Drosophila melanogaster: one gene and its partners. The protein of the gene in region 1 interacts with the protein of each later gene in a pairwise test. Each region holds a gene or a part of one and is shown in the gene's direction. Other genes may lie near its edges.

Region 1 (5,133 bases):
AAATTCTATGCCTGCTGCTCCTCGTTTCCGTCGGCAGAGGTGTGCCACACATGCCCCATTTCCAGGGCCTGCAACTTGAGCAGTTCCTTTTGGCTGTCCTTGGCCTGAAGGTGGAACACACTTTGCTGGGGGGAGATACAAGTAAATGGAGTACAAAGTTAATGATAGCATATATTAATGCTTTGTTTGGCAATTAATTCAAGGACTCACCTTGACCTCCTTGGTGGTCAGGACATCCATTTTGTCGTAGATGATGGCGTGCAGGCCGAGTTCCTTTAACAGCTTGATGGTATCCTTGGAGTTGTTATCGTCGCCCCAACAAAACAGCACCAATCCACGCTCCTTGGCCAGATTCACCTAAAAGCGTCCGTAGCTGAATGATTCACGATTCGAGAGTGGATCATGTTACCTGACTGGGATCTCGCAGCAGGTCCTCCGTGTGTGCCACAACACCCAGGAACTCCATGGCCACCGCGTGCCACACGGCCAGCTCCATGGAGTTGCCCCTGGGGTCCATATACTTCTGGTATTTCGTCGTCCTGCCGAGAGTTAGGAACATGACAGGGTATCGATTTTGCTTGAATCTCAGAATAGTGCAGATATCTGGATCAAAACAACTCAGTACTATCCTGCGATTCCCTGCCTTTCGTAGGATGACATCCAATATGCAATCGATATAGAGATTTCTGTCCACCACATGCTCGAATTCCTCCTCCATTTTGCCGTCCTCTAGCCTCTGAGACCACTTAATTTCTATGTTGAAACCCACATGGACATCTAGGGCATCCAGGACATCGCATAGCTGCGGAAACGGCTGGTGCTCTAAACAATCATCGTTGTGAAACGAACGCGTCTCCCTGGACAGACCCTCAGCAATGTGATAGACTTTCAATTTCTTCAACTGCTCCAGGGACAACTCCCTCATCGGTAGAGCGAGGAAATCGTGCTCCTGCAGACTGCACTTCGACTTTAGTGAAACATAGATCATGAAATCGTGATACACCACTGGCACCAGATCCTTGCTAAGTTGGACATCGAACTCCACCATGTCGGCACCATGCTCTGCGGCATTCTTCAAAGAAGTAATGGTATTCTCCCGAATAACAGCGTCCTTGGCCTTGAAACTAGTTCCGGAACCACGATGGCCCACATCCAGTCCCGTCCACTTGCTGTTCCAGTATCGGGCATAGCTGACACTCATATCCATTAGAGCACACAGCGATGAGGGCTTCACGATAAGATAACCAAGACGCATCATTCCCAGAGGTCGATGGCCCTTGGCACAGGTTATGGGCAGCTCCAAGTTGCCTTCAGAACGTTTAAAAAGATTGGGCAGCACATAATGATAGCCCAAGTGGTTCGGTGGACCATCTTCCTTGGCCACCCGGGAGCTGTAGCTGTACAAATCAATCAGGTAGGCCGTGTTCTCGAAGTCTCCAACGGTCAGATGGAATATAACCAAATCGGTGGGTCCACAGCCGGTGCCGAACTGCTCTTGACTTCTGATTTCGCACTCGTCGGCACTCAAGGTGACGACCTCGCTAAAGGCAAAGGCTGTGGAGGATTCACCGCCGTTCTCCTTGGTATCATGAGTGTCGTTCGACAAGGAATCCTCCATGGGAGACGAGGGCAGCATGGTATCACAGCCGGCACTGGGAATACTCAGGTTCATGGGCGTCACTTTGACCTGGATATGCCTACGTTTCATGCGCTGCTTAAACGTGAACGGAGCATAAAAGAACTTTAGCTGCACCAGAGTCTCCTTGGTCAGCCAGCCCCGATCCACCTTCTCCTGGCCATTGAACGAGCCAAATATGTCACTCTGATTCTTGGCAGGCTGCTCATCCAACTCCTTGACTATTCGGGGCTGTAAGGAAAGGGAATCTCTTAGCAATGTTATTGGGCTAGCTCCAAACCATGAATCCCATACGAGTGCATACAAATCAAATCCGATCCCAGGTCCAGCTGGATTTTTGGACTCTACTCGTATAGGGTCGGTCAGTACATAATGAATTTGTGAACCTGTAATTGCGTTTCCCAACGGCGGACAATCAGCTGCTCCGTGCCGGGATCGACGGCACAGACCATATAGCGATATTCCGTGTCACAGTGACGCGGAATATAGATCTCTCCTGTCCACAGATTACTATACTCATTGTCCTCCTCATTTTTGGACAAAATAGCCGCTCCCGAGTGCTGCCAGTTGCCCAGCGCCTCGCAATTACCCACTATGGCCAACTGCTCGTTGGGCGCCAGATCCTGGTTCATCAGCACCCGAAAGGTCCACAGTCTGTTGGTGGTAATGTCGCCAAAGATCCGGCGGGACTCCAATCGACTGCCGTTTTCCGAGGACGCAGGACAGGATGATGGCGCAGCCATCGCATCCTCATCGCCGTTATGTGAGGCCAGCCAGTTGTGCATTCTGTGGGGATGGATAATAATTAATATCTATATATAATCCTTAGCTATATACACTTTGAATAATAGTAGTTAGCAGCAAAGAACTAAACTAATTGTTGAAACTCAGTATAATTGTATTGTATTGCATGCGCACAAGTAATTTATGCCAACTCTCTCTTTTTTTCGAGTACTACTGTGCTCGTTAGCGTATACGCACTGTACTTCAATTATTTTCAGCTGCGGTCACAAGTTGTTTATTGTATCGAGCGCAAGTAATTCGAAGATATTAACACAACATTAATTTCACTTGCAGTCCGCAATTGTTTTTGGTTTCCCTTATCAGTGGATGACGTAAATAAATAACTTGTATCACTTACTTTGCGTTGTTGTGTGCTGAAATAGAAGAATAAGCCGAAATCGCTTTGTTTGGATTCGATTTCTCGCTCTCCTCCACTTTCTCTCTCTTTGATTTTCCTAGATTTTCTGTGATTTTCCTACGCGTACACGAAACTATAACAAACGTGTGCAAATTGAGGAGTCGCCCGATTTTTTGATCATAGCAGCTGTTTTTGGTTTTTGCTCACGGATTTCAGCTAACAACACATGATGTTTTTCTCTTTTCGTGGCGGGGGGGCTTAACTCTATAATGTGGATATAACTTTATATTATCTGAACGATTTCAGCGCCGCAGGGGCTTCCGATCCCCTTGAAACTGTGAGTTGCATTATTTTGTTATCTATATATCCACTGACCGATTCTAGCGAGGGATGTGAAAAGTATTTGAATGTCAAGATATCGATAGGTTTTTGATGAAGTAAATATTTTCACAATGCTAAATGCCTAAAGCACTTAAAAATAGTAGATGCCTTTTTAGATATATACTACATACTACTTACTTACACGCACTTAAAATACAAGTTTTATATTTGATATTTGAGCGCATTCTCACAGGTTGGCAACGCGAACAGCTGATTTTTAGGGTGACCGTCTTCCGCAACAGAGTATCTCACAGTTTTCGAAAAGTATCTCAGCAATTTAGGCAAAGTTTCTGAACTTTCAGTTACTACTTAATAAAAAGTTTGTTGGTTGTTTACCTAGCTCAAGAGATTCTTTCAGATTTAATTTAATAAAACCGGTAGCTTAGGATTATAAAATTAACTTTGACTTTATTTAATGTCCCTCCCGCGCGAATGCAGCTTAGTAAAAATGAGTCATAGTGTTCAGATCTGCCTACATTCCAGAAGCTTGCAGTATTCAGTAGACATCAGTCGAGCGCAGAAGCTCTTCGTGATAAGACGTCTTCAATTCAAATTTTTTTTATCGAACACACCATGGAGGGGGACAAGGTAGTTTTTCATAGTTCTGATCTACCATACGAATATTTATACGACGACGAAAAACACGTTTCGCACATGCCGGATTCCAAATTAAGTGTACGAAATATTTTGGATTCAGCTTACGCTTCTGCTGAAGGCAAAATTATAACTAGGAAACTTTCGCGCAGCATTCCGCCGTATCCGCATGCTGTTCGAGTAAAAAATGGCATTCGTGTTTATGAATACAGTGAGCCCAGAAAACAGAGCTACAAATCAAGTTTATGGAAGGAGGCCTACAATGTGAGTAGGAATCGAAGAACACATGCTGGACATTTTACTTGCTTTATTTCAGATACTCCACCAGCGGTTGGATATTGCCGAGCCAATCGCAGCAAAGGAACACGTGAGAACGCAGATACATCCGTGTCTGCACAAGATCAAAGGACTTCTAGATCCGGAAACCTGCATCAAGTGTCCGCGGTGTCATAAGTCCATTTCGTCCACCAAAGTTGTGAAAAGCTTTGCATAGTGACGAATGCAAGCCACCTTCAACATATATATCTATTATAGAGGTTCAATATATGCTCAAATCAACACATGCATTTATATATATATATAATATAAACAAAGAATGCAACAGCCCTACAGATGAATCGTCATTTTCTTCTGTCATTTTGCTAGCTGTAATTAAAAGGGAACGGGAAATGTGCTCTCGCTTACTGATTATAGATAATGACTTTGATTTTGAAATAAGGAATGCAAAGAATACTCATTTTCGTATTCACTTCCATTTTGGCGGACTTTCTTTATCAGTAAACAAAGTGGAAGAAGAAGAAACGAGAAAGGTAAACAAGTCAATACAAAACAGTTGTTTGGAAAATGTGCCATAGTTACCAAGTGCCTGCACCAATTTTAATATCAAAACCAATTATTGAAACTAGTTATATAAGTATTTTTATTTACATTCAATGCATTTATAAATAAAATAAATCAAATAATTTAAGCTTACTAAATCAATCAGCTTGTGACAGCCATCACTTTGATAACGATAGTTGGCAACTCTGCCATCGAACAGCTGTTAATGTTTGCCATTTTGGCGCGAAAATACCAGTGTAACAATTTGTTTATATATAATAGGATTTTATTAAGTTGTTTGTTGGACGCTCGTTTGAAACCAGTATGGATCAGTATCCGGACGAAAACGAGGAGTTCGAGCTGCAATACCAAGACGAACTAGAGCTGCTGGAGGACTTGCCGGACGAGTTTAACGCGTACGATGGACCGAGCACATCCAAACAGGCCGCTGAAAAGCAAAAGGAAAACAGAGCTCCCGTTGCGGCACTAAGAGATAGCACCCGTCTTGGAAACTCTACACTGGGATCGCCACAGCTGTCGCAGATTACCTTTGGAGCTAGCC
Region 2 (5,910 bases), on another chromosome or scaffold:
CCAGGGTGTTGTCTTCAATGTGGAGTAGAAAACACATACGATCAATTTTAATGTGCTACAATTTACAATACTATTACATATAATGTCCAAAACTAAATGCAACTGATATAATTCTTCCTATTCCGTGCCGATTTCAAAGCGCCAGAAGTCCACCTCAATATCCTTCGACTTCTGCTTGTGAAACTTGTAGCTGGCGTCGATGTTGTACCGGAGTTCGGCGACCACTGAGCCGCGGGCGCCCCATTCCAGTGCCTTTTTCTGAATGTACGACCTGCGAACAATTAAAATCGATATTTAAATTGGCTTTGATGTACTATTCCACAGTTGTTTAGGCTTGGCTATTCTTCCATAAAAAACAGGAAGGGGTCGAATAATAAGATACCCTTTTAATTAAAGAACTCATCGTTTTAATATGAGTAGCATATATATTTTAAAATATTTAATTTCCATAATTTCTCACTAAAATCTAAACTATTGATGGAACGTGCTGCATCTTATCCACATACTTTATGTGTAAAGCAGCTGCAGGCAGTTGGGACCGCTGCGGCAGCAACCACCCCCGCAGACAGGAACCACTGCATCTCTGGGAATGCGGCGGCAAAGGCTGGGCGGACCGCGGTAGTCTCTTCGGAAGCACAGTCTCTCGCACACTGTCCCGCCAGCGGACACTCGAATGGGGGTGAGACGGCATTGGCCGCTGCCCAGGATTTGCGCATCAGTGGGCATGGGGGCCAGAAGAATCGCCAGCACCACAGTGATGATTAGAAGGCTACGTGAGAGGATCATCTTGCTGCTGACTTCTAGTTGCTATCTGTAACTTGTTGGTGTTTCTGCGGCGTTTTATAGTTGTGAGCAGCGCTCTTAACAAAACAACAACAAAAGCAGAAACAGCGGTAAGGAAGCACATTTACCGAAAAGCGGGTACAATTGTATCTCTTGTTTACTGTGCCAATAACAAAAGATTGCGCATCTGTTTATACCAGCAGATATTCTTAAAGTATAAATCTGCATATGTACATTCATATGCCGAATATTGAGTATCAATATATTTTAAAATATATACCTATATATAGACCAGTAAGCATACTACTTGAGTATCTGTTTAACCAAGAGATCTACACTATTAAACAAGAGAGAATGGTATAACCAAGATTTCGAATATCAGATACGCCGCTCATCTAGAGGGATTGCTAGAGAGGAATTCCAAATTTTGTTTAGATATGGATAGAAATTGTAAAGGAAATAAGATAAGTTATATCAAAAGATTTTTTCAAAACGTTGGTTATACACGGCTGGTAATCCTAATTAAAAATATACTTTGTAAAGCGGAAATCGCTTCCCTCTACCTGTTACATTCTTTGCAAGAAAACTTAAGTTTTCCTCTACGAATATCGATTATAATCAATTTTATACAGACTTACCGTGTTGACGTCTTGTGTAGGGAGTAAACTGCTCTGTTGGCCAACCGTAGGGCCACCTCCAGAAACCGCATGTCCATGCCGGCATTGTGTTTCGTGCCGAATGGGGGATTCATCAGCACCGTGTCAAAGGACTTCTCCCACTTGCTGCCGATCAGCTGCAGCACATCCGCCCGCACGCAGTCAACATTGGGTAGCTCCATCTCCACCACATTGCCCCTAAAGGTGTCCACGGCATCGCCGTCCAGTTCGAAGCCCACCGTGAGCTGGGCGCCCAGCAGAGTGGAAGCAATGCTGAGCATTCCGCAGCCGCAGCCCAAATCTCCCACCAGCTTTCCCTCGATGTCCTCGTGCTGCGACTGCATGTGATGAGCCATGCACGCGGCTATGTGCGGCGGAGTGGGGTACTGTTCCAACAGGATCTTGGGCTGCTCGAAACCGTCAACGCCCTGCAGGTACTCCTCCAGTTTCCTCAGCTTCAACCGGGCCATTGTGGATCCGGCTATTTGCTGATACTGTGGCTGGGCGGAGCGTTCGGAGTAGTGGGCGTGGTCGCAGGCGACGGCAGCGGCTCCAGACGAGGCAGCACGGGTATAAAGCTATTTCCAAAATACGAATCCTGAGGTATAAAGAAGCCCAAAGTCGTAGAGCTCGTTGGATTAAATGCAGAGCGGGCGGTGGATGTGGCATTGGTGGCAATGCCCACGCCCGCCTGGAAGTCTGGATTCACTGTCGTCGGCTGTCCCAGCAACTGGGGTGCGGGCATCTACGATAGAAGACCAGGTAAACACATTTTCCGATCGGCATGTTCCCAACGAACTCACCTGGTTCGGCGGACTCAGACCAAGGTTTATGATCCCGCCCGCGAGCAACTGCTTCTTCGTCTGGATCTCTTCGAGTATCTTGCGGTTCGTCTCGGCTTGCTGGGCACTTGTGGTGGGAAAAGCCATCAAATAAACTAGTAAAAGTCTGAACTATATCAAAAACTTCTTGTAGACTGCTGCTCCTGCCGCTGCCTTTGGCATTTTGCGAGCAGTGTGGTCACACTGGCGAGTACTGTAGTGTGGCGGAAATAGTAGCGGTATTCGAACTGAACCAAATGTGCGAATAAACAAAAAATCTGCAACAAACAAGAGTGTTAAGCGAATATTGAATTTGTGCTTAATATATATATAATTTGTATTTAATACAAATCAAATATTAATAATATTGGTGACCTTTTGGTGCCACTTAAGTTTGAAGTATTATTAGCATTCCTCTATTTGGTCACTCTGCAAGTCTTACAACGTGAGCAGACAACAACAAAATTACATGTTTATTTGGAATAATCACAAAAAACAAAAAACTTACCAACTTAGTGGAATAATCTTAGGAAATATCTATTAATTTGCGCGCAATCCGTGCAAAACAAGTGAAGCAACATGAGTATGAGCGACGACGACCGCGACATAGACATCGAAAGTGACGTAAGCAAGGCGTAGAGGAAAATACTGATACGTGTGTTTAATATTGATTTTAATGCCAAATTAACGACTTTTTAGGAGGACGGGGACTCGGACACTGGCTTGGGATCCTCGCGACACACAAACACCGCCAATTTCACCCAGGTGACTATCCATCATGCATAAACTGAGTGGGAAAAAGCGACTGCGCACATTGCCTTTTGTTGATAAACAGAACGCACACGTGTTGTTGTTGCTGTTACAGAATCGTGATTACGATACAGCAGAGTTCACAGCAATAGGATTCGTAATCGAAAATAATCTTAGAGGGACTGAATATATTATATATTACTATTTACTAACTTATCTTTCTGTTCATATTGCTTTGAGACCATTTTGTTCCATTTTTGTTATTATTTCCATACTCTGCTGTATTTACGATGGAATTTCCTATATGCTAATTTTAATGTTTGTTTCAAGGCCGAAAAGCGGGCGCACCACAACGCTTTGGAGCGAAGGCGGCGCGATCACATCAAGGAGAGCTTCACCAACCTGCGTGAGGCGGTGCCCACACTCAAGGGCGAAAAGGTAATCCAGAAGAGCAACAGGTGACACAGCCGGGCTCATTTTCTGCCAAGAAAATCCCATAAGTCCATACCAGTTCGTTTTACAATAAACTACATTATTGCTTGTCAAATTAAGCAAATCGCATAAAATATATTAAAAAAATCCACACCCTGTGTGATGAAGCTAATAAGAAGTAGTAATAAGTTAATAATACATATCTTTTGTTACAGGCGAGTCGAGCTCAAATCCTGAAAAAGACCACCGAATGCATACAGACGATGAGGCGGAAGATCAGTGAAAACCAGAAAGACATCGAAGAGATCAAGAGGCAAAACAACATAATAGCTAAGCAGAGTGAGCAACTAACTACTACAGGTTATTAATGAACTTCCTGCTAAGATACTTTATATACTTTCCAGTACAAGCACTGGAGAGTTCAAATGGGGATCAGTTCAGCGAATTTCTCAGCGACGAGGAAGTGGGCAGCGAGGAGGCCGACGACGAAGACCTCGACCAGGACTTCAGTAGACGCAATAAAAAGATGAAGACCTTCCACGCATAGCCGCTGATCCAATCCAAAGTGCTGCTTACAGGCGTGTTCCGGCTTCCGTTTTCACCGACATTCTGAATTCTTACGTGGATTTAGTTCAACTTTGAGTTGTGTTATACGAAAGCAATAGCCCTCGAAAAGTTGTGAAGGAAACGGTTCCAAATTCGAATTAAAGTGAAAATTAAAATTATGTGGAAATGAGAACAGTAACAAGTCCGATAATCATAATCATCATTAGCTGTAAGCCCAAAATGTAACCCACCCAATCGACCTTAATTTGTATGCGTGCGTCTTTTCTACTTTCAACAAATTGTCACTCTGTGCGCAAAGAATAAAGTAAACTAGTAAGTACATATTTTTAGAAAAAAACAGGGGCTTCTTGTTGATGAATTCTATTATGGAAATTGGAAAATATAACGGACCAATTGAGTAACATGAGTGCTGCTTTTGAAGAAGTTTATAAATGATAAAAGGATTGACATTTTATGCGATTAGGGCTAAATAAAATCAGCAATTTTTGCAAGTAATTTGATCACTTGATACTGGAACCTTCCCTTATTTATATCTGGAATCTCCTTTTGCTTATTACTCGAGAACTATAAAGAACGAGCTGAAAAAACTTTAACGTACGTATCTGTCTTTCTAATATTGGTTTGAACTTAAGAAATATATTTAACTTTATGGTTTTAAGCCAAAAGTGAACCGCATTCCGAACCAAATACAACCTTCGACTACACTAAACCATACAAATATGTGGGTATATATTTTATAAAATTACCAACAACTACTTAAACTTTAGGGTTATCCAGAGGATTAAGAACACGACGAGGATGAAGAGGAACATGTAGCACATTTGGCGAGCACCACCGCCCTGTTTGGCCAGTCGCACCACCCGCGTCATCGCGTTGCCCAGAAATCCACTCGTCCGGTCCATGTCGTCGTCGATGCCGCGCAGCAGCTTGTCCTGGTAGCGCACCTCATTGCCTATATCGATGGTGAGGGACTTCAGGGCCCCGATCTTCTGCTTCAACTCCTCCGCCGCCTGCTCGTTTTCCGCCTCCAAGGCGTCGTGGCTCGCAGGATGGGGCCCTGAAGGGTGCTGGTTTAGGGGCTGGTACGGGTAGTTGTTGCGGCGCATACTGCTCCCCGAGTGTGCCAGTTTGGCATCCGGATTGCTGCGGATCGGGTGAATTTAACGAAATTAATTAATTATAAATTAATACAATGCTCACAAATCTCAGTTTTCGAAGTGACACGTAAACGTAAACATGTAATCTCACCCAGCGGCAGAACAGCTGTTGGGATATACGCTTCTTGGCTCAACCTTTGTGGTTGACTGTGCATTGACCCTTGACCTCGTGTTGTGATTTCCAGAATCGGTTGACTAATGCCTCTACTTATTAAACGAAACTTTTTAAATTCTCATGCAATTCAATTTTTAGTCGCCGAGCAGTGTGACCAAAGCGGAGTAGCAAAATTATTCCGTAGCAATGCGTGTGGCAGAGATTACGATTTTCAATTAACCCATTGCTTGCCAATACGCTTTTAATATCGTAAGTTCTTTCTATAAGTTTCCAAAACTTACTATATATATATATATATATTGTTTTAAGATTTCATAAAAATTTGATTAGGGAAATCGGGACAGACAACGAGACAGTCGGCGGTCGGCAAAAATTCACCTCCAAATAACTAAAAAATAAATAAATAAAAATCGTCCCCATGTTCAAAATTCCACAGTTTCACCATCGCCGCTAAAAAAAAATTTGTATTATATTTAGGTGTTCATTAAAATATGGTACGTACAGTTATTATTACACATATTATGTGTAAGAATTATTAGTTTATTATATATAATGCAAAAACAATATTAGTTTAATATTAATTAAATAGTAATTAGGCAATTCAAACATTATTTGTAATTATTTCAAAT
Region 3 (6,300 bases), on another chromosome or scaffold:
TGGTGAGGCTCTTCTCGCAGAGGAATATCTTGCCGCAGATCTTGCACTCGCAGCACTTCTCCCCCGTGTGACTCCTCTCGTGCACCTTGCAGGCGTGCGACTTGCCGAAGGTCTTTCCGCAGTACTGGCAGGCAAAGTCCTTGCGCTTTTCGTGCACCACCTTTACATGATTGGACAACGCCTGTTTGTTGTGCGAGGCATGGTCGCACTGTCGGCACTTGAACTTTTTCTCCTTGGTGTGCGTGAGGATGTGGGCGTTCCATTCCTGGCGCGTCGTCTTGCCCACCCCGCAGTACGGACACACATGGTTCTTGATGCCTGCGTGACGCATAAGGTGATCCCTTAAAGCACTATTGATTACAAAACGCTTGCCGCAGATATTGCAAGGATACGGAAGCTCCTCGCCCGTGTGCTTATACATGTGCTTCTTGAGTGCTGTGGGGCAGCGGAATACGGTGTCGCATTCTGTGCAGGGGAAATCTCGAAGCGGGGCAGCCGCCTTGGTGATACCGTGCACCTTCTTCATGTGGAAGGTGAGCAGACGGACGCGCGGGAAGGTCTTGCCGCAGCCCTCGGCGATGCAGGCGTGAACCTCGGACAGCTCTGTGTGGGCGTGGTCGATGTGAATGCGCAGCCCATTGGCGGTAGTGAAACCTGTAAGGTGGGATTTCATAGAGATCGGATACTTATATTTATACTTAAGCCAGCGTTATACCTTTCTTGCAGGTCTCCACCTTGCATTGGAAGGGCAGCAGGTCGTTGTGGTACTTCATGTGCTCCTCGTAGCGGATGGCCTTCTTGAACTTCTGGTGGCAAATGTGGCAGTCGATGATGCGGTGCAGGTGGCGTTCCTCGATGGGAATGCGCTTCCTCTTCGGCTTGTCGCCCCGCGATGTGCCGTCTTCGGAGTCATCTGATTCGGAGGATGAGTCGCTCAACTCCTCCTCCTCTGGCGGAGGCGGTTTTATCTTTTTGGGCCGTCCCCGGGGCCTCGGCTTGGGTTTGTCTAGGTTGCTAAAACGGTCCTGCTGGGGTCCTGATCCGGTAGCTGGTCCCCTCATGCGCTGGGCCAGCGGAATGTCATCATCGCTGCTATTTGGCTCGAAGTCCAGATCGTGGTCGTTGTCATTGCCGCTCTCGATGGACGAATCGTCGTCGAACATCTTGACGGAAACGTTGCCCCCGTCATCCTCCTCCACCTTGGCCTCCTTCTCCACCTCCTCGGCCTCCTTGTCGACGTGCTCCAGCATCTTGAAGACATCCTCCTCGTTCTCGATTAGCTCCATCTTGTGGTTCAGCAGCGGGTCATAGTTGACGTGGTCCTCTTCCTCGGCCGGGTAGTCCTGCACGGCAACGTTGGGATCGAAGACGTCGAAGCTGCTCTGGCAGGCAAAGACATTGCTGGCCACCAGATCCTGGAACTTTTGCACGGAATCGACGCACTGTTTCTGAAAGTCGTGCAGCTCGTTCAGCTTGGTGTAGCACAGGGTGCACAGGTTCTTCGGGAATCCGTCGTTTTGCTCCACGGACAGGGATGTGCAGAAGCATAGCTTCTTCGAAAGTCCTGGAACCAGATACAAATCGTAGGCGGCGTCGTTCTGCAGGTGGTTCAGACAGATCCTGCACAGGCTGTGGATCGAGTACTGCCTGCCCTCGTTCATCTTGCTTTCAATCGCAATCGGCACTGCGGATCGGGGCGGTTTTCTATAGCTTTTTGCGTCTCTCTCCGGTCAGTAAGCAATAAAATAATATTGACACAGAAAAAATTGTATACTCGTCGACTGGCAATCGGGCGAGTGGGCAATAAGCAAGTACTTCTGCCAGCGAGTTACTCGTCCGAGTGCGTAGTTGTTTTGCGTTTCAGGGCTGGACAATCAATGTTTTTTCTTACCTTCTTATTTGCAATTCTAATTAGGTTGCAATATACAAAAAAAAAAAATATATATATATACAACTAATTTAATTAAATAGATATTGCTTGTATACTTCAAATAGTATTTCAGGGTTTTTTAAAAATATTTTGCAAACTGAGCACCATAGTAACAAAAACGAAACTGAACTTACAATATATAGATAATGGTATGTATATATAGAAAAAATATAAAACAAATTTTTTTGTATTAGTATGTATATATAAACATGTAAAACAAATTGCTTTTAATAATAAGCAACGACATTTGAAAATATACAAACTGGGCATCAAGAAAATTTGATACGAAAATGAACGTACAAGATTTCTGTATCGAAATAAAGTCAAAAATAAATAATAAATAAATGTATTTTAACTAGACGCATGCATGGTCTTGCTAAAAAGCACTTACATTAAAACAAGTTAATATAAAAATAAGAATCCAAGTATGCTGTTTACTTGCCACCCCACTACACCGTAATGGGTTAATGGCATAGCGAAACGGTCAGACTGCCTGTCACACTGGAACAAATTTGTTTAGAAGCTTCGATTGTTATCTGCCCGAGAATTGAGGGAAATGGGCACTATGGAGCTCAAGTACTCCGTCCAATCGCTTTGTCTCACCTGCCTTGTCCACCTGAAGCATGGTGCTGGACACGATCTCTTCGTGGTTCCAGATCTGTTCCAGAAGCTCAGGGCGTGCACTTCGTTTGATGCGGATCAAAACGACGGTTTCCCGAGAAACCTGTGCACCCAATGTTTCACCAAGCTGAACGACCTGCATGACTTCCGCGAACTGTGCGCAGAATCTATTAAACGTCTAAAGGAAATGATGACCAGCCAGAGGAATATGCCCATGGGTGTATTCGAATCTATAGCTGATGATTCTGAGGCACCTGAAAGGCCAGAGGAGCCGGCCAGTTTCGATCCGCTGCTGAATAACAAACTAGAGATGATTGACAACGAGGAGGATGTGTTCAAGTTGCTGGAAAAAGTTGACAAGGAACTAGAGGAGCATTCAAGGGACCAAAGCGAGGAGCACTTCTCCAGTGCAGAGCACAACGGACTGGAGGAGGAGAAAAAGGAGTCGGAAGGGTTCAACAGCGACGATGAGCAGGCCATGGGGCAGCGACGGATTGCGAACGACAAGCGTAAACTGTTTCGCCTTATGAGCTGTTCCATCTGCCAGCAAAAGTTCAAAAAGCAATCAAAGTTCGAGGAGCACATGAAGCACCACAATGACCTGTTGCCGTTTCAGTGTCAGGAGGAAAGCTGCCGAAAGGGCTTCACCACAGCCGGTGCACTGCGTTTGCACGTGGACTATGCGCACTCCAAGAAGGAGGATACGGTTCCCTGCACCGTGGAGGGCTGTCAATTGGTTTTTTCCCGTCTCCGGCTGCTGACCATTCACTTGAAAAAGGTTCACAACCAGGCGAGGGTTATTGCTCCGCGGGGTGAACAGTCTTGCAAGGAATGCGGCGTGGTGTTTCGTTGCCCGGTGGCTATGAAGAAGCACATGTACACGCACACGGGCGAAGAGCTTCCCTATCCGTGTACCATTTGCGGCAAGGGCTTTTACATCAATAGTGCCCTAAAGAATCATCTTCTCCGGCATGCTGGCATCAAGAACTACGTGTGTCAGTACTGCGGAGTGCGAAAGACCACCCGCCAGGAATGGAGTAAGCACATTCTGATCCACACCCAACGGAACCAGTTTAAGTGCCGCATCTGCGACTATGCCACCCACACGAAGCGGGTGCTAGAGAGCCATGTTAAGATCGTACATGAGAAAATCCGGAATTTTGCTTGCCAGTACTGTGGAAAGACGTTCGGGAAAGCATACGCCTGCAAAATACACGAGATGGCGCACACTGGTGAGAAGCGCTGCGAATGCAAGGTAAGGGAATTACCATTATACCCTTGTTACCAAAGTCTGATATATTTTCGCCTTGCAGGTTTGTGACAAAAAGTTCCTGCATTCGGAGAGTCTCAACAATCATCTGAAGATTCATGAGAAGAGCGTGGAAAGGGCTCTGGAAACTTATAAACAGGTGCAAGTAAATGGCGATGCCAGTGACACTCAAGTGGACTCACATCAGCTGCTGAAGGTTTACGCCGAATCCGTAGCCAGCATTCCTAAGAATCCCCGCCGCGTAGAGCAAGTTGATGTGGCCCTATTGGCAGGGACCGCAGTGAATCCCACAGACGAGATTCAGTTTGTGCAAAAGGAGGGTATGTACTTGTGTCCCAGCTGCAGTCAGGGATTCAAGAGCATAGGCAACATGAAGCGCCACTACAAGAGCGTCCACGAAAAAGTCAAGGACTTTGAGTGCCGTTTCTGCTCCCGTCGCTTTGCCAACTCGCAATCCGTGAAGCAACACGAGTGGATACACACTGGCGAAAAGCCCTTCGAGTGTAAGACGTGTGGCAATCGCTTTCGCCAGGTAGCGGCGCTCATCCGACACCAAAAAGTCCATGACGAAAAGCCGGCGAAGCCTCTGGGGGAGAGAAATGACCGTAAACAAAAGGTTGAGGCACTACGGCAGGAAATTGCGAAGGTCGCCAAGAAGGAGCTCAAGGATTTGAAGAACCAACTGGCACTGGAGAAGCAGCAAGACACATACGAAAAGTAATAGGCAGCGGCAGCTAGCCAAACTGGTCCTGACCTTAAGGAGGAACCCTAATCGCAGAATAGTTTACGATTACATAGGGCAAAAGACTTCCCATAATAGTGGGAATTTTTATTGTTGGTTAATATTTAACTATTACTTGTTATCCTATTTCTAAGTTGTTAAATAAACTTGACCCAAATGACACACTTTAGAATAACTACAAATGGTTTTGGACTAAAACTAGTTTTAAAAAAAATTGGTCATAAATCGAAACAAACGATTCTAGTTTTTCAATTTTTTTTTATTTTTACTTTCACTTGCTTGTTATTTTGATGAGAGAGTGTCTTAATGTCGTCAAATGATTGCAAACAGTCGGAACCGGGCGCAAATGTCTGCGTTCCGCGATATCCGGCCGTTTATATGATAGATGGAGTGATGGATGGATGATAATGATTAGATTCAAATGATACAAAATGCGATCAAAAAAATCTACAAGTAGATAGCAAAAATTTGGTATACACATAAGCAGAGCAAGAAGTTCCCTAAACAATGGAAAATGGTCGATGGAAGTGGGGGCGTCATCTGGTGGGGCCCAATGTCTGGCTATGCCCCATCACCGCCTGCCGCACCAAGTGTGGGTTCTAAGGAGCTTCAGGCGTCTTCAGATTGTACTTGGCCTTAATGTTGTTCAGTTCCTCCTGTTTCTTGTCCATGTCCACGCGCTTGAAGGCCTTGTTGGATTGGTAGTAGAGCACCACCAGATAGCGATTGCACACATTAAAACCCGATAAATGGTCACAGGCGTTCTTGGCATCGAAAATGTCCTCGTAGACGACAAAGGCGGTGCCACGCGTTTCCGGAGTGTTGCCTCTGCAAAAGATACACAAATTGATTGAGAGGATTCACGGCGAATAGCATTATCATCTTCAATCTTACACGCGTATCTGTCGAATGGCTCCAAATTTGCCGAATATGTCGTACATCTCGTCCGAGGTGATTTTGTACGGCAGGTTCCGCACGTACAATAGCCGATTCACCTCTGGCGGCAGGCGGATCTGCAAAAGAAATAGCACTTTTCACTCAATACATTTGCTTTGTGTGTGGAGCCGTAGGTTTTCTGCTCACATGGTTGCGCTTGTTCATGTCCGGTCGCTTCGGATGTTAAGCGGCGACAAGGCGAGAAACTTTCACTCGGCCTCGAGGAAAGTGTGTGGCGGCTTTGTCTGACCCGGGATGAATGTCCTGAAGCGTGGTCCTTTGTTTAAAATTAATGACTCCTCTGTCTGGCCTCAAACCCAAACAAAATTGAACAGGGTGGCGAATGTGGGCACTCTAAATGGCGAGAGTGTGGACGCATTTCGAGAGCCGTATCGAGTGTGACCGTGCAGCAGCACTTAGATACATATGTGAGAGGAAGTTCGTTACATCGGAGCAGCTTTGGACTGCAAAATTTGATTTAATATTCATTTTTTTTCATTTTGGCAATAAAATAATTTGTTGTTCGGAAATTATATATCAGAGTGATTCAAACATTTTAAGCTGCTTAAAAATATTAAATTAAGCACAATAAATTAAAAAATCAACTACATTAAATATAATTTTAAAACCCGTGACGACACGTTGCCATCTCTAATAAAAAATAGCATACTCCCTCTCTCTTGCACGGTCACACTGTATACATCTCGCTAATTGTGCAAAGAAAAGGTGAAAAAAGAGACAATTTACGCAAAATCTTAAGAAAATTCCAACTAAAATAGTTTTAAAGCACAGCCAACACCC
Region 4 (6,579 bases), on another chromosome or scaffold:
TTATAAGGCACTTTTGTTATGCACTTTTTAATTTCACAATTGCTGATGTATGGCCTCAAGCACGCCTTACCACAATTTATAATGGTACACAAAGCAACCTTTAGCTATAGACTATAAGGTGCTTGTTTTAAAACATAAAAGATTCTTTTGTATCTTTTGCTTTTTATATTTATACTCTGTTCCTTACCTTTGGTAGGGGGAAACAAGAGTTACTTATTTTTGCTACCTTTAGCTGTAAGATGCTTAAAGGAGCTGGCCTTTCTCTGAGTTCCTTACCTTTGGTAGGGGGAAACTGCAGAGTCGATTAAAGGCTCGATTGACCAAATATAAGTCCCAAATAAGAAGACTTTACTCGTTGAGTTTTTGTAAGAAACTGATTTTATTTGGAAATATCTTCGGTTTAAATAGGTGACATGAGAATCGCATCTTAAAGTAAATGGCCTACGCAGAGGCCTAAGTAAATAGTCCCCGCCTTATCGAGGTCCCACGCTCGGGCACATCTGCCTATCTTGAGCGGCGAGGACCTTATCTGTGGTCTCCCACTAAGGGACTATTTTAGGAGGCGGGGAACGATCTCAAGTGACTGACTCATGTAGTGTGCACTTAAATTACATGTTTTTGAGCAATGCACCCATGTCGCCTTAGATAACAAAATCCTAAATATAATTTATCGCTCTCGATTCATTTACATAAGATATGAACGGAGCCCAAAATTGTAAGTCTTTAAATATATTCGTGTTCATGTGTGAACAATGTTCAAAGATGTTTTTCCCACTTGCATCGCCGACTTGTTTTTGAAAAAATTCTGTTGTATAGCAACGTCCCAAGCAGCGAGAGCACAAATGCTAAATGTGGCGAAAAATCAAAACTAGGCAAAGTAAAACATGCTTAGCTCTTTATTTTGACTGTGCTTTTTTGTTAAATTTTTTTATATGCAAATTTTCCTGGGATCTTATATAGGAGTAGCTTCTACAGTTTTTGGACTGTTTAACTGCGGTGCATTGGCTCTGCCCCCATGATTTATAAACTCACGGCGTGCGCGTATTTATCAAACTCTAATTAATCGGTGATAAACCGATCAAGACGCTAAATGCTGCACTACACGAAGCCGCCAAGAAACCGAAGACTTTCTGCAAACCGTCACAGGGGGATCTGCACTTTGCGCCTGAAAACCGGTTTGAAAGACCTCTTTACGAAACTTGGCTTCGATTGCATTTTTATTTCTGGTTTCAGTTTCGTAGTCCACCGATTACCATGTGATTTCCTACACCGCAACCCACCCCACCCCATCAAAATCACCCTCCACATCTCAAGCCCCTTTCGGGAGTACGAGTATTTGTTGAAGCAATTTGCTTTCTTGCATCTTGTGGCTGACCGAGGCGACTGCGATGCAATCAATATATGCTCGTGTCCAGCAAATAATAGACTTCAAACTGGCATTTTAAAAGTTTTTTTTCATAGCCAAAGTCTCGAAGTACGAAGTGCGATTGAGCCTGGAAGGAGTCCGCCAAGCGTTTTGGGTCTACAATTCATTGCTCTTACCGAGGGCAGAACACTTTTCCCCTAAATGCTCACATAGTTAAACTTATGAAAAGTTCGCTTTGTGCTGCACTAACAGGGGCCTCCAACGAGGGCCAGCTCACTATCCCTAAAGACAGCAACAACGAAGATCACTGCTCAGCAGTACAGCTAGAACATCCTGTATATGTCATAGCAATGAACTCTAATCCACTCTAGTAAATCAATTTATTAGCCACGTATGACTTATGCCTTTTTAAATAAACGCTTGCATGCGTTCTCTAGTTTAAGTTTAAGGTTGAGCGATTATAGATTGGCCATCCCTCAAGGGCGGGCTGAGTCTCAAGATACTCTTAAATAGAGGAGGCACAAGATATTTATGTTAACATGGCCTGCGTAGTAATTTGGCATTGTTGAGGTATCACGATTACGATACGACTTTAATTGTAGTAAAATACGAGCAATCGTATATGTGCTTTGCAATAGTGGCTTCGGTGCAAGCCATGATTATCTCTACTTTAAGATATGTGTGCACAAAAAATACAGTTATTTGAAAACGTTTAGCGTCAATAGTAAGAGTGTGAAATGACCTAGGCGAGTAATGCGTGCTCGTATCCGGATGAGAGTTCACTTATGGGTGCGTTTTGGTGACTTCGCAAAGCACTGCAAAAGTTAACAAACGGAGAAATATCAACAACATAGCTATATAAAACCAGTTGCCAAAAAAATGTGGTAAAAAATGCTTAGTTTATCTTGCTTAACTTTTTGTACAGCGTTTGCCTTTTCCGAGTATGCACACAAACGTTGAGGATAAATTGAAAAAGCCATTTTGCTGCCAATTTAGCAAACACTTAAACCAATTTTGCACTTCAATCCACCGACGCACACAAAAAAGGAGTGTCTCATACCTATACAGTTCCTATTCAGCTGAAGCCACACACTTGCACTTCTCGGATCCCAAGCGGATTCATGGAGCTTGCATCGACGCTGGCTTTGACGCTGTAACAAGGACGACCCAAAAGTCAGTTGCTGTGCCCCACAGGGAGGAAAGTGTAGGAAGCTTCCAAAACGTTGCCAACAAAGTGTGAAAATGTCAAGTCGTAAAGTGTCCACTGGCTGAGGGGACGCAGCGAGCGGTAGATGGGTGCAGTCTGTAAAGTGAAATGCCCTGACACCCATATCTGTTCGGGCAGTTTAAGTCAGCTTTGAGAGGAGTATCAACATTTAAAACAGGAGGACAATCGGTTATTATTGTCGCAAAGTTGATTTACAGAGAAACACAGCGTTTTGTAATATTAGAACTAACCCATTTTTACGCTCTACTCGAGAAATTAGTTAGCTTTGTATTAAAAGTCTGGTGCAATTAATGCTTTAGAATACTTTCAAATTTATCGAATAATGTCCTGTATTTGCCAATACCATGATCTCGGGGACATTGCCACCAGAGACCTAGTAGCGTTTCCTTTGCCTGCAAGTGACGACATGAGCGCTTTCAACGAGTAAGTGATAATTTAATTATCTTATCTTTTGTTACCACTGGACTTCTCTTAGGGTGAATAAAGAATCATTGGGGCATAATGCTGCTGAGATTAGATTGTCGGCCTCAAGTCTATCCGACTGCCGTGTAGAGAACTGGCTCCTTAAAAAGAAATTACGCGAATACGAAGTTACAATTGAGAACCTTGAGCAGTTGGTGACTACTATAGTTGAGAAGCAGCATCAAATTTTGAGCGAAATGTTTTCCTTACGCAAACAAAACCGAGAGCTGCAATCCGAGTGTCATCTTCAACGCGAGTATCACTCATTGGAAAGAAATGCCTTGATGAAGGAGCTGCATGACGCTCAAATCGTGTGTAGAAGTCGAAATCTGGATACGGTAAGTACAAACATAAAGAAACTAAGAGTGCATTTCTAAATGGGAAGCGCAGGCATGTCGATCAGATGAACATCAAGGTAGTGTAAGTTTGCCACCTGGGGACACGCTCCTTAAATCTGAATCCTCTTATGGTGATTTCGAAGAGGAAGACATGAGTGAATCGGACGACGGAGATCAGTGCGAAAAATGTTGGGTCGGCAATAATAAAGAGGATTTTGATGCTGGAGAAAATTACGCAGAGCCTTCAGCACTTAGTTCAGGTCAAAATTCTGGTAGGACATCACCGTCCTTATCAAGCTCAGTAACAGGGGACTCGGAATCGGCTGACGACAGATTTCTCAATAACATAAGCATTAATCAGAGCCTTACTAGTGATAGCGATCCGGAATATGCAGACAAATAATTACTACTTGATGCCTTTGAGTTTAAAGGTCTATATATTTTCTTTAATATAAAATTCAAATTATTTATAGACCAAACTTTCTACCGTGACTTTAAGTTGTCTTTCATGGCATTAAATAATCAAAACAAAAACGTGACAATCGCACAAATCAAATCAGCCATAAGTTTGACATAACGTGACGGTATCAGATTGTGTACAGACATGGCACTGCAAAGAAAAAACACGTCAATTGAGAAAAATAAGAGAATACCGACGCCCAAGTATTTGCATATTAAAACGCCAAAGGGCTGCAGAAAACCCGTTGCTAAAGTGCTCTCCTCGCCACCACACAAATATGATTGAATGGTAAGTAAATATATGTTCGCCAAAAGGGGAGTATTTAGATTACTGGCAAAAACGTGTTAAGTGTTTATCTATCGAAAAAGTTCAGGCCAAAACAGCTACCAGCCCTTTTGCAGCTTCTGGCATGACTATACATGGTTTGGGATTGGCCCCACACAAAGTTGTAAGAGAAGCGAGAATGTGTGCTTGTATTATGGGCAATTTATCAAACAGAAAGTTTTCAGCACAAATGAGTCGTGGCAAGGAAGCCGAAGGCCACCCGGGCACCCGTTTGCCAACAGGATTAATGAGTCTCGTGTGCTGCCTGTCCTATCCTACATCCTTGAAACCTGTCTCGCAGCACGTACCAATAATCTATTATGAGCCCTCTTCGAGAGGCAACTTGTGGAAGTTTTCGGGTTCTTTCCAAGATCGCTTGTCTTGGCTACGTTTTATGTGAAGATTTTTGATACTATATATGGGTGATAATATGAGACGTTATGACGTTTATCTCAGACTTGTAAGATGTTAAGCCAGAAACCACAGTTTTTCTGTTAGCATGAACAAAAGAGCATATTGCAATGCAATGTCAAAAACCTTAACTTTTCGTTGCTTGCCCTCAAGGACTTACACAAAAATAATTAATGACGAACGGCCTCGACTCAATGTAAATCGAGTCCGAAACTGTTTGCAATATCATTTATCAATTCAGAATTTTGTTTAGAAACTTGTTGCGCACAAAAAAGCTTTTCATGTACACGTGAGAAGGTACGAGGACTACCGCGGTAAAATGAATGGGATACGAGATGTGAAACCAAACAAGGCATTAAAGAAACACGCAAACATATTGAAATGCAATACCGTCTTGGCACTATAAACGCCTTGCGAATCGCATCATGATAGCTCCTGCATCAGAATCTTCTACGCCCCAAACAAGTAGCTTAAAATTGCGCGTAAGTGAGCATGGGTGCGTTTTTGAACCTTTGGTTCAGGCTACATCAAGACATATGAAACCAAAATGGTGCTAGTTGGTGGACGGTTGACTTTGTGAATATAGTTATTTTGGATAGTTATGTACAAGCGACCAACGCCGTCTTAATATTTTTATATTATGTTGTAGCAGGCTGCCTTGATCCGACGAAAATCGAATTTTCTGGATCAACGCCTACTTACTTACTCAACCGTAAAAATACATAAAACTTTTGCAAAAAAAAAAAAAAAGAAAACAAGGAAAAACCGTACTTGCGTGTTCTAAGCAATTTCAAACCAATAATCGTTGGGTGTCTTTTAAATTAAGTAACCAGAGCCATGCAAGCCAAATATGCCACATTGACATGTCTATCAATGCTGCTATGATGGCTTTGATGGGATGAGGGCAAGGACTTTTTGTTATTTTTTAATTTAACTAATCTAAAATTGGAATCATTTTATACTCAGCCCACAGGAAGTGTGGCATAACAGAAATAAAAGAAACCAATGAGTGATACATTGCGATTAATACAGGAGAGTACTATCCAATAAAGCAAGGCAGACCACATTTCATTTCTATTATACCGCGCTTTTCATATATGTATACATTTTACTTGGTTTAACACAAAAACCTGGCTGACAACTTTCTCAAAAATTTCTGGGTAGAGTTCAAAGGGGGTAAAATTTACTTCATACACCTTAATACATTCACCAGTTCATTTTATAGGGTTTCTCATGCATATTCAGAAAAGTATTTGTTTGAACAAATGTGTGTATGTACATTTGATTTTCTGGAGGCGAACCCCTTTGGCGTAACTCGAAGACCATAATATTGTATTAATGTCAGGATACCATATTGTCCTGCATATTAATGAGTATAGATTTAATAGTCATTTGTATTTATTATTGTATTACCGATTGGTTTTCGTGAATAAACAAAATAGTTTTGTTGCTACAAGAAGCATTAATTACGCACAATGAATAGTCCGGAAGTTACAAGGAAGGAACAATTTCTTTCGCTGAATTCCTTTCACAAACATTACTCCTTACCAAATAGAGTCGATCGTTTTAAGTACCCCGACCGCAGTAGTAAAAATCGAAAATGGAAAGCGTGTTATAAGAGAGAAAATAGAATCATACTTATTTGTGTGCAAAAATCCATTTTCTAAAGTAGAGAAAATAATATGGCACACAAAACAGCAAGGTGAACGATGAGCCGAGGAAAGTGCAACATGTGTTGCAGTCAAAGGATCGGAACGATTACGATCGTTATCACCAAATCAGCGACCTGGTATAATAGCAGATCATGACGGTGCGCGGAGAAGGCTATCCAAGTTAACGAGCGGCAAGCACGAAACAAGCACACATGGCCTCCACATTGGCCTTGCAGCCTCCTGGATGAGCCCAGATGCAGCTGCGTGGAGTTGCCCACATTATTTGCTAATCTAGCACCTCAACTACTACCGCTATAAGCGACTGGAAAGTGATTATG

Evidence for each region.
Region 2: the proteins of CG31955 (region 1) and Max interact in a two-hybrid assay, tested with the Drosophila melanogaster proteins (one large-scale study listed by BioGRID).
Region 3: the proteins of CG31955 (region 1) and CG7386 interact in a two-hybrid assay, tested with the Drosophila melanogaster proteins (one large-scale study listed by BioGRID).
Region 4: the proteins of CG31955 (region 1) and lov interact in a two-hybrid assay, tested with the Drosophila melanogaster proteins (one large-scale study listed by BioGRID).

The regions. Positions count from the first base shown.
Region 1 is NT_033779.5:3,711,381-3,716,513, reverse strand, and holds CG31955 (uncharacterized protein), read left to right. Parts: upstream 1-3,647; 5' UTR 3,648-3,731; coding exon 3,732-4,016; intron 4,017-4,068; coding exon 4,069-4,245; 3' UTR 4,246-4,288; exon of another isoform or gene 4,289-4,360; intron 4,361-4,445; 3' UTR 4,446-4,633; downstream 4,634-5,133. Other genes in the region: CG2818 (uncharacterized protein), read right to left, coding at 6-125, 211-357, 410-1,867, 2,023-2,421; cutlet, read left to right, coding at 4,896-5,133.
Region 2 is NT_037436.4:19,260,955-19,266,864, reverse strand, and holds Max (Max), read left to right. Parts: upstream 1-2,680; 5' UTR 2,681-2,839; coding exon 2,840-2,884; exon of another isoform or gene 2,885-2,959; coding exon 2,960-3,025; exon of another isoform or gene 3,026-3,099; intron 3,100-3,340; coding exon 3,341-3,448; intron 3,449-3,657; coding exon 3,658-3,781; intron 3,782-3,846; coding exon 3,847-3,989; 3' UTR 3,990-4,633; downstream 4,634-5,910. Other genes in the region: Aldh7A1 (aldehyde dehydrogenase 7 family member A1), read left to right, coding at 1-28; CG45081 (uncharacterized protein), read right to left, coding at 508-786; Mettl5 (methyltransferase like 5), read right to left, coding at 118-271, 1,422-1,909; CG42374 (uncharacterized protein), read right to left, coding at 1,921-2,184, 2,243-2,368; Bet1 (blocked early in transport 1), read right to left, coding at 4,762-5,115. UniProt on the Drosophila melanogaster protein: Transcription regulator. Forms a sequence-specific DNA-binding protein complex with MYC or MAD which recognizes the core sequence 5'-CAC[GA]TG-3'. The MYC-MAX complex is a transcriptional activator, whereas the MAD-MAX complex is a repressor.
Region 3 is NT_037436.4:6,187,319-6,193,618, forward strand, and holds CG7386 (uncharacterized protein), read left to right. Parts: upstream 1-2,426; 5' UTR 2,427-2,495; coding exon 2,496-3,806; intron 3,807-3,864; coding exon 3,865-4,542; 3' UTR 4,543-4,731; downstream 4,732-6,300. Other genes in the region: D19A, read right to left, coding at 1-654, 716-1,661; Sf3b6 (splicing factor 3b subunit 6), read right to left, coding at 5,163-5,391, 5,458-5,576, 5,647-5,664.
Region 4 is NT_033778.4:25,135,879-25,142,457, reverse strand, and holds the start of lov (jim lovell), read left to right. Parts: upstream 1-2,830; 5' UTR 2,831-2,916; coding exon of another isoform or gene 2,917-3,017; intron 3,018-3,069; coding exon of another isoform or gene 3,070-3,394; intron 3,395-3,446; coding exon of another isoform or gene 3,447-3,797; exon of another isoform or gene 3,798-3,831; intron 3,832-6,579. Other genes in the region: CG43106 (uncharacterized protein), read left to right, coding at 2,917-3,017, 3,070-3,394, 3,447-3,797. UniProt on the Drosophila melanogaster protein: Has a regulatory role during midline cell development.